Schizosaccharomyces pombe: one gene and its partner. The protein of the gene in region 2 binds, or shares a complex with, the protein of the main gene of each other region. Each region holds a gene or a part of one and is shown on either strand. Other genes may lie near its edges. The genes, in order: kae1 and cgi121.

Region 1 (9,022 bases), on a different chromosome or scaffold from region 2:
TATCAAATTTACAAAAAATGGTCATTTTTGAAATTTGATTATTTCACACAATGTGCAGAGGACGGTGAATTTCAAGAATACGTTGAATTAGTAGAGTGGTCCGATAACCTGTGGTCTTCAACAGATTATTTGAGAGCTACTCTTGGTGCTCTTACCATATACCTATTGTTGTTTGAATCCAAGTTTAATATGTACGGAAATAAAGCTGAAGAGATATCCCATATGTCGGAAGTTGAACAAATTGCGTACGCTAGAGAGGACAATAAGAAAATCATGAAATTGCAAAAAATAGAGGAGGATAAGATTAAAAGTTACATCCCTTCTGAAAGTGAAGAGCCGTTGGTTATTGATGAAGACTACTTTGGGCATAAGCTGCTAATCACTGATGATCCATTAACAGAAGCTATGAGGTTCTTACAGCCAATTTGCTGGCATAAAATCAAAGGCTGGGGATTCTTAAAAATTTTATCTTCTAAACTTTATAAACTTAAAGGTATAATATTCTGTTATTACGCACTAACTAACAACATTGAAGGATTACACCAAAAAGCTAATAGTCTAGAAACTTCAGTATTGTAAGAACCCCTTTTCGGATACACAGTTATGAAGGATGTGATGTCGACGGACTATATTTATATTTTGATAACCTATAATACCCAAAAATTAAAACCCTAAAAGTGACAACTTATTCAAGGAAACCACACAAAATTCTAATCTTCATCCATTTCCTCTTCGTTTTCAGAAGTTTCCCACTCAGCTTCTTCGTTTTCTTCGTCCATATTCGGTACACCAAGGCCATTCAAAATTTCGAGTAGTTCCTGAATATGACTCTTGATGCCCTCATCATCCCATCCTATTTTTTGATATACACCTAAGGCCGAAATGAAATAAAACTTTGCATTCATGAGAAGCTCTTTTATTTCTTCCTCAGACCCATTACCCTGTTCTTGTAGGTTTTGAGCTTCTACATAACAGTTCCAGCCCAATAAGTACCATATATCCAAAATTTGATCATCCTCTTTCTGAAGGTATACCAAAAGTTGATGAGCCTCTTCATGCATTTCAACTTCAATTAATAGCCTCACAATGGATGTTCGAACTGCATAGGTAGGGAGATCAACACTATCCTCCGTAGCCGCCCTAGAAATAGATTGCAAACATTTAGATAAAGCATCTTTGGCTTCCTCTATTTTTTGTTGACTAATACGCATAGATGCTAGTGTCTGTAAAGCTTCAGCGTTTGTGGCATCAATCTGTAATGCTAGTTTTGTATATAACTCACAATTTTCTTCAGCATCAGGTTGCATACATAAATCGGTCATAAAAAGCTCAGCAATGCTGCAATAAGCTCCCTGAATCTTTTTCTTAAGATCTGCGTCTTCTCCTTTGTCTATCAAAAGTCGTTCGAGGATAGTGACTCCTTTTTGATAAAGTTTTAAAGCTTTCGATCCATTATCATTAATTTGGGCAAGCCAAAGGTATTTTTCGTACCCTTGGTCATTTGTTAAATTTTTTGATCGCGAAACAGCCTCCTTAAAAGCAGACCTCGCTTTTTTAACGTCAGCTAACTCTGCATAAACTTCACCCAATAGCTCGAACGCCCTTCCATCTTCCTTGGGACTTTTATCCGCAGCTTTTTTGGCAAGAATTAATGCTTCGGATGTTTCGTCTTTTACTAACTTCTCACGAATTTCTAATAATTCGGCGTCGGTTACAGACATATTGATTGTTTCGTTTATTAATTGTGCTTCCAACCTTCTTTTATTTAACAAAGGGCTTTAAAAAAGTATATTTGGTTATTAAAAGTATTACAAAACATAAAGATTTGTTTAATAACCAAACAATGCAAAACTACAGTAAGTTGGCAAAGGTCTAGTGGTTTTGTTGCTAAGATGAAATTTTTCTTCCACTACAACATTCTCGTAAACTAGTCATTTATAAAATTTTAGTAAAGCTAGTATTTACTTACAATAGAAGGCCATATATGTTTTTTCAGATATTTTAAATCCCATATCCAATAAATGTTGTAACCCTTAAGATGTCTGTCTATTTACTGCATTTAGCTTCTACTCATGCACACTTTCATTTGCCTGAATTAGAAACATTAGCTAAGATTGAAAACGTTGAGTTTTGGTTAATTCCAAAATCAGAATATTTGAATGTTGCTTTCAAAAGCGATAAAAGTCGGAATCAGGCATTGTTTTCTCATGCAATTAAAGAGTTTCAAGACTCAATTTCTCCGAATGATGCTACAACCCAAAATCCATTTATGCTAGCCGTCGTTAATAGCAACGAAGATGCAAGGCGTTGGATTCGGAGATCAATTTTTTGTAAAGGGATATACGAAATATATTGTATTGGGGATTCTTTTACGCGGTTACATGAAAAGATGAAAGAGCTAAATCCCGCACCTTGGGACTCTTTTAAACATAATAGTTCATACAAATTTACATTTGAAACTTTTGGCACCCGAAGGACGATGAAGGAACAATTGTCAATTATAAGCGATTTTGAATACATGCAGTTACAAGGACCAGTATCTATGCACAACCCGCAACACGTATTCACGGTTTTAGAAAATCGTAGGAACAACGTAGAAGGGCCTAAAGTTTACTTTGGTCATTGGTGCGGCAGTGGTTCTCGTGATGCAATTGATACATTTGATTTGAAACAAAGAAGCTACATTGGAATTACTAGTTTTGACGCAGAGCTTTCTCTTGTAACGGCTCAAATGGCTATGGCAGCTCCTGGGAAACTTATATATGATCCATTTGTAGGAACTGGAAGTTTTTTATATACATGTAGTTTTTTTGGAGCTCATACACTTGGTAGGTTGCTCTCCAGTTATGCCAAACTAACATTGTTTTGCAGGTTCTGATATAGATGGTAGGCAGATGCGCGGAAAAAATGGAAGATCTATTAAATCCAATTTTCGGCAATACAAATTGTCCCCATTCTTTTTAGATACTTTCACTGGAGATGTCACTAATTGCCCACTGAGGAAAAATTTATTACTAGATGCGATTGTCTGCGACCGTAAGTCTTTCTTTTTTAACATTTCCATTAACATTTGATAGCTCCTTATGGCGTCCGTGCTGGTGCTAAAAAGATCGCCAAATGCTCTCAAAGACCACCCAAAGAGTCCAGTTCAACCGGTAATCACTATCCAAAGTTGGAGCAATATCAAATTAGTGATATGGTTTACGACATTATATGTTTTGCCTCAGATCGTCTTGTTGATGGTGGTCGATTGGTTTTGTGGCTTCCAACTATAACAGAAGAGTATGGTATCGATGATATTCCTTCACATCCGTATCTTTCTTTGATTTATAATAGCATACAGCCTTTCACTCACTGTAAGTTTTAACCAACCATACATTTTATTAACCTATTAGGGTCACGTCGATTGTTGACGTTTCAGAGACTCCCTAGAGCTCACGATTCAAAAAGTTTAAATTTACTCCCTAAAATAAATAATAAGACACCCTCGCACCACAATTTTCGAGAAAAGGTAAGCTAGTTCAGACGGCTCAACAAATTACTAATGTGAATATAACAGTACTTTAGCAGCGCAGGGCGTGCATCCGCAAGTACCAAATTTTCTCCTGTCTTAGAATAAATTAGCAATGGATTTGTTGAGGCAAGGAAATAAAAAGAGAATAAATTTGATGTCCTGTTATCCGTTTCCCTTTTCCTCTCCTCTGGTTTTTTAATTTTAGCAACTTTTTTGGTTTAAAGAATACGAGATTGTTAAATAAATTTGGGTTTTTAATTGTTACTTGTAATATACTACATTTATTTTTCGTATAGTCATGAAGCAGCAATTTTCCAAAGCACTATTGAAATAGCATGTCTAAAACTATATAAAAAAATTTTTGGTATTTCGTGTCCAATTTACCATTAGAAAAATATATATATATATTTATATTTATATGCTATGGCTTGTTTATGAAAGCAGATTAGTATTTAAGAATTATTTATTTCGCAATAGGGAGTAAAAAAATTTTAAACCGAAAAGCAACTCATATGGTATTAGAAAAAATAAAATAAAATCGAACAAAGTCGTACACAATTTATATTTTCATGCTTACGTAGAGTTTATAAATATTTGTAGATCAAAACTAAGAGGTAAAAATATCCGATTTTTCTAAGGTGTAAGCAAATGGATTAATAAATGGTGTAAGCGAATTTATCTAGTACACACACTTTTCTTGGACTACAATATATAGATTATAATATATCGAAAAATATTCAGTTTCTTATTTTTGGGTATTTTCTATCAGAAATAACTTTAGTTGGTTTGTTTGAGCTTGCTCGCAACTTTTTAACTTACTGATACATAAAAGAACGGCATATGTTGACCAGTGAGGAACCGTATATTTATTCACGTTAATAATTATGGGAAAACCTTTAATTGCACTTGGATTAGAGGGTTCAGCAAACAAATTAGGCGTTGGTATTATTTTGCATGATACCAATGGATCGGCTAAAATATTAGCAAATGTCAGACACACTTATATCACTCCTCCCGGACAGGGATTCTTGCCCAGCGATACTGCTAAGCATCATCGTGCGTGGATAATCCCTTTAATTAAGCAAGCGTTTGCTGAGGCAAAAATTTCTTTTAAAGATATTGATTGCATTTGTTTCACAAAGGGGCCAGGAATCGGTGCTCCTCTGAATAGTGTAGCTCTTTGTGCTAGGATGTTATCACTAATTCACAAGAAACCTTTAGTAGCAGTTAATCATTGTATTGGTCACATTGAAATGGGTCGTGAAATTACGGGTGCACAAAATCCTGTCGTGCTTTATGTTTCTGGGGGAAACACTCAAGTAATTGCATACTCAGAGAAGAAGTATAGGATTTTTGGTGAAACGCTTGATATTGCTATAGGCAATTGTTTGGATCGATTTGCCAGAATCATTGGTTTGTCCAATGCACCTTCACCTGGTTACAATATTATGCAAGAAGCAAAAAAGTAAGACTCACTTTGATGTTTTATACTAATTTTTTCCTAGAGGCAAAAGATTTATAGAGTTACCCTATACTGTTAAAGGTATGGATTGTTCATTTTCCGGATTGTTGTCAGGGGTTGAAGCGGCAGCTACAGAGCTATTAGACCCAAAAAATCCGAGTTCTGTTACAAAGCAAGATCTTTGTTACTCTTTACAGGAAACTGGCTTTGCAATGCTAGTTGAAATTACAGAACGCGCGATGGCACATATCAGAGCTGATTCTGTTTTAATTGTTGGAGGTGTTGGATGCAATGAACGTCTCCAACAAATGATGGCTGAAATGAGTTCGGATAGAGGCGCTGATGTTTTTTCTACAGATGAACGTTTCTGTATTGATAATGGTATAATGATAGCCCAAGCAGGGTTGTTGGCTTATAAAACCGGGGACCGATGTGCCGTCGCAGAATCGACGATTACTCAAAGATATCGTACTGACGATGTTTATATATCATGGAGGGATTAATACTTATATTCATGAACAAGGATCAGATGAATTTTATTTTAGGCATTTATATATACATTCTTCATTATGAAGATCGTATCCAGTAAAATATTGAGTTTTTTGAAGTAGATTATCAAAATTCCAGTTGAGGTAAAATAGCTTTTTCACATAAATTGTCACTATTAAAAAACCTTTGGTTCTTTCTAATAATAACTTTAGCATTATTTGTCGTTGCAACCTGAGAACAATCCTTAATTGGAGAGCTATTCTCGTCAAATTTCGTTGCTATATCATTCTCATTTAACGTGAAAATCCATTTGTTTTTTTCTAATAATTTCAATAAATGAGAAACTATATTTGAAGACGAAAGAGTAGATAACGAGCCAAACATAATACATTTCACTTTCGCCCTGCTTAAAGCAACGTTCAAACGATGCCAATCGCGTAGCAATTCTCCAACCTAAATAAATGGTTAGCAGTTGTGTAAATAATTGGTTCAATACTCACTAAGTTTTTACTGTTGGATCTCACAAAAGATATTAAAATGATGTCCTTGTCTCTTCCTTGATAACGATCGACAGTGTTAATTTCTATTTCAGTGAATGATTTAAGATTCTTAGAAAGCAACTCCACCTGACTTTTGTAAATTGAAATTATCCCGATAGAACTTTGCTTAACGCCTCGTTCCAAGAAGGAGGAAACTGCTTGTTCTATCAAAAAAGCTTCAGTATGATTTTCTAGAATATTATTAGTTTTTGATTCAACTCCCAGAATATCATCGGTATTAAAAAATATGACTGAATGACTAGGATTGATTAACTTGTTGACCCAATGTAGGCTAGACGACGAATCGGGTAAACCATCACTTAGATGAGCTTTTGGCAAAATTAATTTTTTTTGGGATATCGTCTTGGACCCACACACCAAATTGCCGCCATAAATAAGTTCACTAGATAATGAATTAATGTCTTCATTCATACGATATTGTAGTCTTAAAGTGGTAACGGCTTCAGGATGCTTTTCTGATAGTAATTTAAATAGACTGAGCGACAAACCATCCTTAGATGTTCTTGAATTTTTTACTAAAGGAGGAAGTTGATAATGATCACCAACTAAAACAAATTTTTCAGCAAGCTGCAAAGGGCCTAAGCAAATTGGTAGAGGTATTTGGGATGCCTCATCAATTATACAATAATCGAATTTTCTTTTATTGAAAATGGAACTAATGTTGTTAGTAGTTTGTTCATTGCCGTCGCTTTCAATTACTTACTGATATACCCCTAGAGAAGAGCATGCAACTATTTGGGGGTCTTCGTAAAAATGTTTTAATGACGCTAAGTCGTCAAACGTCGTTCCTTCAGTCAAACAAAATTCTTTTACTAGGGGATGGATTTTATGAGGAGATCCTAAGCGGACGATTGTGCTATCACAACCCTTCAGTTTAATTAAAATGTTATCAACTGCTAAATGCGTAAAAGAAGTAAGAAGTATTTTCTTCTTTTTGGCAAGCAATGATCTGATTAAGCTAGAAATTGTAGTGGTTTTCCCCGTTCCAGGCATTCCGAGTATCAAACTATAATGTTCTGCAGCGTGGCATTTCTTTAAAGCTGTAATTTGATCTTCGTTTAAACATTTCAAAAATTCAGGATCGATTAATGCACTATTACAAAATTTTGGAGGCTTCAAACGGATAATCATGTCCCTTATAATTAAGGGAGCATCTGGTAATACAGAAGACATCAAGGTACCTCTTATTGATGCAATTCCGCTCGAAAATTCGTCCTTATCAATTCTGTACCTCGTATGGTTACTTCCGATAAATGACAATTTGGAATCTTCATAGTTACCAAAAAATACCTGGTTTTTTTTGAAATCAAAGTTAGGCATCTTTAGCCATGGAATATGAAGTCGATGACGAGTTCGTACTTCAATACATGAATCTTGAATATGGACTATGTGTCCTTTAGCTAGTGACCAGTGTCCATGTTCATCAGAAATAAATACTCGTTCACCAACGCTGAAGCCTGAGTGCAAGAAATTTCGAGGATAACCATTGTCATTTAAAAAAGCGAATTTGTAATGAAAAACCCTGTCATCAATTTCTAAACAAACGATATCCTCTTTAGTAATGTATAAAGGATACAGAGTTTTTCCATAAGCTTCTAGCTCTTCTGTATCAAAAGTCAACACATCGCCTCTTTTTAGTAGTAAGAGTCGTTCCTCTTGATTTAATAACTTCTCCCACTTCTTATAAAATTCAAGATCCTCATCTTTTACTTCGCGCATCCATTCATTCCATGACTCAGTCAAGCCGTTACTATTAGCTACTCCTTTATCACTCATCTTTTGAAAGAACAAACATTCAGAAACTAAACTGCAGTGATCGCAAATTTTTCGGTTCGAAATCATTTCAGGAAGGCTGCGCCTAAAGTTATGCTGTGCAAGAGAATTTCTTGTCATGATCAACCCTCGAAGTTGGGAGTTACTTGCAACCAAATTCTTGATAGTACTATTTTCCAAATAGCATAATAATGCCTGATTAGTATTGATACCATAACGATCTGAAATGAGTAATGTATAAAGCAAACTTTGAGCAAAATGGCTAATATTGTCGACATATCGGCCAGTTTTAAGCTCTAACGGAAGTGTGAGGGTTGACGAAGACTCAGGTTTTTCAGTTAAAACCACCTCAACTGTAGCATCGATATTACCTTTTAATCCAAATCTGGGTGACCATATGGATTCCTCAATATCGAGAAGCCTTGAAATGTGAATACTTTCATTGTTGTTGTCATTTTTTTTACTTATTAAATATCTTTCAACAATAGATTTAAGAAGGGGAAGCCTCGCATCAAGTTCCTCTCGAATTTCATCGAGCGACAAATCAGCAAAATAGATATCAGAGATGTATGTTTTTATTGATGTTTCAAGGTTGATATCAACATTTTCAAGGGCATCAATACCTCTGTATAATGCGTGTTGAAAAAAATCATGTAAAATGTTTCCAGTTACCATAGCTTTTGTAGGAGGTCCATAAATGCCAACCCTGTCAGATATTACGGCTTTCCTCAAACAAGGAAAAGAGCTGGCCACTGCCGTAGCAGACATTAAAATTTTCGGATGTATGATAATAAGTCCTTTATCGTTGTCAACGATAGCGGTATTATCTTTGTCAAATGTAGCTTCAACACGGATAGAATCCCCTACAAAAATACTAGTCTCAGTCCAATCACCGCGTAAAAATAACTGATGCAGTATATCATTTGCTTCCAAAATCAACTTTAATTGTCGAAAGTGATTCCCTTCATGAAAAATGAAGTCTTCGTGAACTTCTAATACTGTGTATTCGGAGGAAAACTCGCACAATTCACCAGGAGTGCATCCATCACACGAATCATCCCAATCATCGATAAAGTCGCTATTGATATCCGGCAATGAATTACAAGCTTTATCAAGAGCAAGGTTCACAGGTTCTTCATTTATTGTAGCATCAGATGCTTTTGTTGCTGAACAATAAGATTGCAAATCACCTCCCACATGGTTGACCTTAGCTGTCTTTTCTAT
Region 2 (7,568 bases):
TGTTTGTGGTAATTGGATCTTAAACTATTTTACATAATGCTTTAGTATTCTTAATAATTATTATATCGCGCTACGATACTTTGTTTTACTTAAATTAGTATTTTGTAATAAACAAGAATATCTTTATTCGATAAACTAATTTGGACTTGAAAGCAGTCACACAGTACAAACTCAAGAATTCAGTGTAGTAAACTCATCACAGGAACAGAAATGGTAAGGCTTTCAATAGAATAGTTAAGAAACCGGTTTGAGGATAGAAATTACTGACAAAACATAGGGTCGTGTACGCACCAAAACTACGAAGAGAGCTTCTCGCGTAGTTATCGAGAAATACTACCCTCGTCTTACATTGGACTTCCAAACCAATAAGAGGATTGTCGATGAGGTTGCTATCATTGCTTCCAAGCGTCTCCGCAACAAGATTGCTGGATACACGACTCATCTTATGAAACGTATCCAACGCGGTCCTGTCCGTGGTATTTCCTTCAAGCTTCAAGAAGAAGAGCGTGAGCGCAAGGATCAATACGTTCCTGAAGTCTCTGAGCTCGAGAAGGACAAGATTAACGTTGATCAAGACACCAAGGATATGCTTAAAGCTCTTGGCTACGACTCTATCCCTACTGTCGTTGTCGCTGCCTCTCGCCCTGAGCGTCCCTTCCGTTACAGACACTAAATAACATTTTAAAAAAAATAAGATGTATGTTCTTTTGAACTGTCACGGTTATTTATTTTTGTGATGCATTTTGTACCATATTGTTGTATTTGTATTCATTTCGATTTGTAGACAGTAAAGTAGGTACGTAAAATCGCTCCTCTAGAAGCTCGGTAGTTAAATTTATTGTACATTTAGTTTAGACGATTTCAATTTTTTCATTTTTGTTTTTACAATCTTACAAATTTACTAAGACCGTTCGTTGTGAATATGATACCTACTGAAGATGAAAGTGCAATGGGCAGAAGTCGTTTAATAAAATAATTAAAATTGGCTGTTGTACAAACGCTCAATATGTTGACTTGACATATTAAGAGAAAAGGAAACTAAACGGTAGAATAATAAAACAATTCAAATTATGATAAACCCTGAGACGTAAATTCAATAAATACTTTTTCTAATAAATTCACTCGACGTCTATACCGGAAACATTTTGTAAGGATTCATAATGATAAAAGTCTTCCGTCTTCAAAGACCTCAAACCGCCTGATTGTATGTCATATTTGATTGCTTCCAAATCATTTCCATGCTTGTCAAAAAGCTCTCTGCGTGGAACTGATAAAGCAGATCTACAGACTTCCTTGATATATGAGCCAGACAGTCCAGCAGTGGCATTAACAACTCCATTCCAATCAAAGTTCGCTTCTAACGGTACCTTTTTTAAATAAAGTTCTAAAATCTTGCGACGCTGTTCGGCATTTGGAAGAGGTATGGAGAATACTTTAGGCATACGACGCCGAATGGCCTCGTCGATGTCAGCTGGTCGATTAGTAGCACCCAAAACAAGAACCCGTGACTGACCACTCAATAAACCATCCCACATCGACATAAATTCAGCTTTAATTTGAGCCATTGCTTCATGGTCTGTCCTTTGGCGTTGCCGCAAGAAAGTATCAATTTCATCGATAAATATTATAGTAGGCTCAAGCTTACGAGCTAGTGTGAATAATGCGTCCACAAGCTTGTTTGATTCACCGAACCATTTGTCTGTTAAAAGGCCCACACTCACATTTATAAATGTAGCTTGACTTTGCTTGGCTAATGCTTTAGCTAGCATTGTTTTACCACATCCAGGAGGCCCGTACAAGAGTAAACCCTTTGGACACGACAAAAGTCCGCCATGGGTGTCAAACACTTCAGGGTATTTTAAAGGAAAAAGTACATCTTGCAAAAGCTGATTAACATGTTCATCCATACCTCCAATATCATCAAAGGAAACATCGATTTCGCTGGGTAGAACGAGCTGTGATGCAACAATCTGCTCATACTCATTTAATTCCAGAGTCTCCAATTCCTTGACTTGTTCCCCAGCCCACTCATCAAGTCGCTTACGGCTTTTGGAAACTGTATCCTGCCTTTTTTGTCGATACGGATCTAAAGTAGACAAAAGTTTATGTGCTGCGTACCAAGAGCAACCAAATGCTAAGGCATAGACAACGATCTCTTTAATTGCCCTTTTAGTCGTCGGATTCATAATCAATTCCCCAGTAATAAACTTCAAAATGCAAGCACACAAAATTTTATGCAGTAAATTTGTCTGGTGGCACGCTACTACTATTGGGGCGGTTGGTATGTTCAGCTAAATGGGTAAAGAAGATATACAAAGTTGATCGTACTTTGCTACATTGTTTGGAAAATATATTCATTGAAAAAATTATTTTTAAATAAAAAATTTTCATTTTCCTAAAGAAACAATCCCAATGGTTTCAAAGCGCAGTTATCAATTATCAAAAGTGGTAATGTAACAATAAATATTTACTCTCTGTGCCAAAAGATTTGGTTATAGATGAAATAACAATTAGTAAACAATAATAATTAAGCAGAGATTTTTTCTGAGTAAATAACCCATTGAAAAATGAGAATAAAAATGGAGCGAGAAACCTTTTAGGAGATTTGGATATACTTATAAATATCCAAAAGGGAACCTAACGGAACTATATACAAAACAATAAAGGACATATCAAGACTAAATCGCTATGCCCGTCCAGTGAAGCTCACTGTTTAACATATCCTAAACGGAAAAACCATTCCTATCATTCGTAAATTCACGAAAATTTTTAAATTATATACAATTTTTTCCTCCTAGGATTTATTTGGCCTTGTATTGAGTCGAACTTGACGACGAAGGATTTTCACCTTCACTAGCAATGCCTTCTTCTGAATCAGATTCGGGATTACTAGGAGGATGCAATATAGACTGTAGGTGGTTCATTTGCTTTAAAGTTTCATCAAAAATATCTTTTCTCAAATTCCATGCTTTTACATAATTCGCGTTTTCTTCTTCTAACTCACGAATAGCATCTTGCAACTTTCCTATTGATCTGTAAACCCGGTCAGTCTAAAATATTCAATATAAATCTGGAAACTTACTCTTGTTGTTCTGTTCTTGATCTCAATCCTTTTGACATTATTGGCTTGGCCAACTCGTCGTATTGTTCACGCTTTCTTAATTCTTCTTGGGCAACTAGTAAATCTTGCTCAAGCTGGCTTATTTCGGTTTTTTCTGCTTCACAAAATGTTTCTGAAAATATTAATAAAAACATCACTGTACTTAAAGTTACGAATTTAATCACATACGAGTCTTCTTCAGTTCTCCTTCGTAAACATCCACTTCTTTAGCATTCATGTCTAATTGCATTTGCAATCGAAGCCAAAAAGCAGAGAGAGCAGAAAATTCAATTTCTAAATCCCTTAAGTTTGCTTCGTCTACATTTTGAGCAGCAAAACCAAGACACCGACTAATCAACCGTTTCAAAGGCCGTTCTTCCACAGTTAAGCGCGATCGAATCGCCGTCTCTGACATATCGGTTAACTTAATATTTTCAAAAAAAAAATTATTTATAGCATACCCTCCATAATGAATTGAGTAAAAAAAAAGCAAATTCACTATACAATTTAGTTGGGCGCTAAGTCAGTAGCTGGAGTGTTCGGAGTTTTAGTCACCGTATTTTACCGATGTTTACCGGCAAAAAGTTATTAGTACGATTATTACCTAAGAAATGTAAAAACGCTAACAAGGATTGCAGTTTGATATTGCTATAGAACAGGCGGGCAAAATGATTTTACCTCTTTTTCCAGAGACACAAGTTCATGTTTTTGTATATGAAAATGTTTCTAACTGTGCTGCGATTCATGAACAACTAATAAGCCAGAATCCCATTTATGACTATGCGTTTCTCGATGCCGCTACTATTCTATATAAAAAGCAGGTTTATAGCGCTATTATTAGGGCTCTCGAAGATAGAAGGGACGAACAAATGAAAACTAAGACGATTCACTCAGAGGTTATTTTGTCATTGTCCCCAAAAACCGAAATTTCTAGTGCGTTCCGACAATTCAGCATGACAAAAAAATCTAAAAACATTGTAGTGGTAAAAATTGATAGCAAACTTACAGAAGAAGAAGAATTTGAGCGCTTGGACAAACTTGTGGAAGGTAATAGGGTCGAATTTTCTGACGAAGAGTTACAAAAATTAATAGACTTCAAGGTGTTAAAAAAGAATTACAAATTGGATCCCTCTACGCTTGAGAATCCTTTGGCCTCTATATTATCTTCGATAGCTCTACGTGGTTATTCTTAAAAACATATGTTCTAGCAAATCTGATCTTTTGTCAATGTTTCACAATTGATTTGACTATTTTTCTATGCGGCTTGAATGATAATGATGAGAGTTCCAAATGGAACGTTGTGTGGATTCTTCTATTCCTTATAATTTTTTCCTCTCTCAAATGACTGTACAAACTATTTAGCAAGCACCTACATAATCAATTTTTGATTTACGAATTGGTAAAGGATGGCACGTAAAGTTATGCCCTCTGGTTTGGTTCAGTTTTATGATCTCTTGACAGTTTTACTAAAGTAACTAAGGGCATTTCATTACGATTATCTGTTTCGATACTTTTACCTAGGGAATGCTTTAGTGTTATTTGACATCATGTTTTGTTCTTGTGCAATATTTTTTGCTCAGGTCTATTGGCGATGAATTACTATATGGTGGATCTCAGTGCAAAAAGTTTACCATTATGTGAATAGTTATTAAAAGTTTAATGGGATTATAAATTAATGGGTTTTTTATTGCGCACCTTATGCTCCTGTTATAAAGAAAAGCAGGTCGCAAAGGTAAGAACTATTTTTATACAACAATAAAGGTTTTTACATCGTATGTTTTACAATTAACTGGCAGCTCTTTGTCAAAATTGTTTATTTACGGATTTAACTTGCCTTCTTGCGGTATTGACTGCTAAGCCGGAATTTGTGATATCAAGCCATCCGTTTCCCAGTCACGCGAAAACTCTTCCTTATGGAAATTTCATTTTAACAAGTACAAATCTGTTAAAACTACATTCATATAATCATATGCAGGCAGCCGATTAGAGAAAAACTAAATTTCTTAGGCAGAATTGTCATTATCCGTCAATACCGCGTTTTTTTTATTTTCCGCTTTGATTTTTTTTATCATTCTTTTTGGTTCTTTTATTTTTGTTTTTATTTGTTTTGTTTTCTTTTTTTCCTTTTCAAAAGTCATTTGAAGACAAAAACTCAACGTTGAAGAGAGCATTTGTTCATCTGTTGACTTTTCGCCAATACACCTGTTTTTTTATGGACTTGCTAAGTATAGTGTAAATTTAACGCTGTCGTTGATCCGTATGATTTCTTTTGATTAATTTAAATCGTTATATGTGACACTAGCAATTTTTGCTTCATGGCGGAAGAGACTGAAGAGGATTATTTAGTTGTGGGTCGTGATTACTTGTACCCCCCAGATCATGAACTGCACTATGGGTTTCATGCTCGTGTGATTGAAGAGGAGGAGGAGCGATTTGTAGATGATACCTTTGATGAAACAATCGAAGGATCGGATGACTCCGAATCAATAGATGATACGGAAGTATTTTACGATGCTGAAGAATCTGAAAGCACTCACCCTTCTGCTTCTTTCAACGTCCTTGCTGACGCCGTTGCGCTTTATGATTTCGAGCCCCTCCATGATAATGAACTCGGTTTTACTACTGGTCAGAGACTTTGTATTTTGTCGGAATCCAGCGATGGTTGGTTGATTGCATACGATGATGCCTCAGGAAGAAGCGGGCTTGTTCCTGAGACGTTTGTTAAATTAGAGGTATAAAAGAGCGTTGAATTGAACCCTTTTTACTTTTTCTTTTTGTCAAATTGATTTTAAAATGTTATTCCTTATTTTATGTTCCAAGATTTTCTGGATCCTCTCCTTTATATATAAGAATCCGAAGTGTTACGGGAAAAAAATTCGGATTGTCACGCTTCTTATGAATATTATTTAAATGTACGCCTTTAAAGCAACTATCATACAATTCTCCTTTGGGTAAATAACTAACCTTGGGATGTGTCGTAACTTGGGACTTATTTTTGATTTGTTATAAGGATGAAATGAATGTTCTATCTTATGGACCTTACAAGAAAAACTATAATATTGTCAAATATAATCATATGAGATGAGTTAAGCTACATAAAACTCTTTGAAACTTTATTTTATATTATTGCAACCTTCTAATAACTTTACATCTTCTTATCCAAAGAAGAAGGGTTAGAATGTACCGTGTTTTACGGAAGTTCCATTCCCGTAGGGTTACAATGTGTTGCTAGAATAAACCGTAAGTCATAGTACATATAGAGGCCAATTCTGTAAACTTTTTTAAAGTCTATGGAAAACCCTCTATGTGTCTCCAATAGAGAACGGACATCTCTTTCTGATTAGTATATACGTTTTCATAGTCTCTTCATCCTGAGGTAAATTGTACAAAACGCTGTAGTTAAACATGTGATCGAGTTAAATAGATATCTTCATAGTTCAATATACCATTAGATTTTTTTAAACAAAATCATAACGAGTACGAGGTCGTTTTGGAGAAATAATATCTGCAAATGCTGAACGTTTTCTTGGTGTGGAAGGATTGGAAGACGAGGATCTTTCATTTAATGCTTCCTTGAACCAAGTCTTGTCATTCAATAAAGACTTTTGATCACGAATAATGGACATTAACGATCCTGGACTAGTGTCGGTTTCTGACTCGAATAAGTGATGATTGATAAGAGGAAACCATACCATCTTGGCAATCGTCTCTGGTGGAGTAAGCCAAAGGGTCCAATTCCATTCTAAGAAAATATCTTTAGCTATTTTTGAGGTACAGAAAATTTTTAAAGATCCCTCGTCATTTGAGCCTCGTAGTTGAATTCTACTTTCAGAAGAAACATTCACCAGCACTTCAGCCAGTACATCGACTAACGTTTCAAACGTTTGAAATGGATCGATAGGACATCTTTCGCTCTGTTTAAAAGTTAATATAACTCTTGGTTGAGAGAAAGGTGTTAATTTGGTTGCATTTATAACTGCTTTTCCCCTGAAAGCATAGTAGCAATGTAGTTGTTAACTAATCTTACCTCTGCCTGATTGACGATTTGATTGCGGCTACATGTACAGGACCAAACACGCACTAGGTCTGTAATATGAATGACTTGTACAGCCTCATTACTTTCTGCGTCGAAGCTAGCCTGTATAAAATGAAACCTGTGGCCACGTAGCTGCACCCAAGACATCAAGTATAAACAAATGCAATGTCTTGTTCAGTATCTCAAATTGATTATAACAGCAATTCAATTGAAAATATTAAAGCTAAATCACTAAAATAGAAGAAATAAGCTCAGCAATGGTCACAGTTGAGAATTCGAGTTTGCAAAGTAGTATTGGTATTGATGAGAAAATTAAACAACCGATATATGCCAGAGTAAACAATAACTATGCCAAGTTATTCTTTAAACTTTAGAATGTGAAAATTAGATCAATTGGAATGCTTTTGTAAAATATTGTCTAGTGGTTTGAAA

Evidence for each region.
Region 1: cgi121 (region 2) and kae1 share a complex: the UniProt entries of both Schizosaccharomyces pombe proteins name them as parts of the EKC/KEOPS complex.

Annotation. Positions count from the first base shown.
Region 1 is NC_003423.3:3,586,768-3,595,789, forward strand, and holds kae1 (EKC/KEOPS complex N(6)-L-threonylcarbamoyladenine synthase subunit), read left to right. Parts: upstream 1-4,195; 5' UTR 4,196-4,398; coding exon 4,399-4,979; exon of another isoform or gene 4,980-5,019; coding exon 5,020-5,479; 3' UTR 5,480-5,591; downstream 5,592-9,022. Other genes in the region: nat1 (NatA N-acetyltransferase complex subunit), read left to right, coding at 1-579; protein acl4, read right to left, coding at 711-1,721; tRNA (guanine-N2-)-methyltransferase catalytic subunit Trm11, read left to right, coding at 2,039-2,828, 2,872-3,036, 3,078-3,356, 3,396-3,511, 3,560-3,619; DNA replication endonuclease-helicase Dna2, read right to left, coding at 5,592-5,918, 5,966-6,680, 6,729-9,022. UniProt on the Schizosaccharomyces pombe protein: Component of the EKC/KEOPS complex that is required for the formation of a threonylcarbamoyl group on adenosine at position 37 (t(6)A37) in tRNAs that read codons beginning with adenine.
Region 2 is NC_003421.2:917,654-925,221, forward strand, and holds cgi121 (EKC/KEOPS complex subunit Cgi121), read left to right. Parts: upstream 1-3,724; 5' UTR 3,725-3,768; coding exon 3,769-4,293; downstream 4,294-7,568. Other genes in the region: rps1702 (40S ribosomal protein eS17), read left to right, coding at 211-213, 278-673; yta4 (ATPase Msp1), read right to left, coding at 1,119-2,186; THO complex subunit Tho7, read right to left, coding at 2,802-3,033, 3,083-3,233, 3,290-3,508, 3,562-3,568; skb5 (Shk1 kinase-binding protein 5), read left to right, coding at 5,416-5,838; XRCC4-like factor xlf1, read right to left, coding at 6,559-7,014, 7,128-7,283. UniProt on the Schizosaccharomyces pombe protein: Component of the EKC/KEOPS complex that is required for the formation of a threonylcarbamoyl group on adenosine at position 37 (t(6)A37) in tRNAs that read codons beginning with adenine.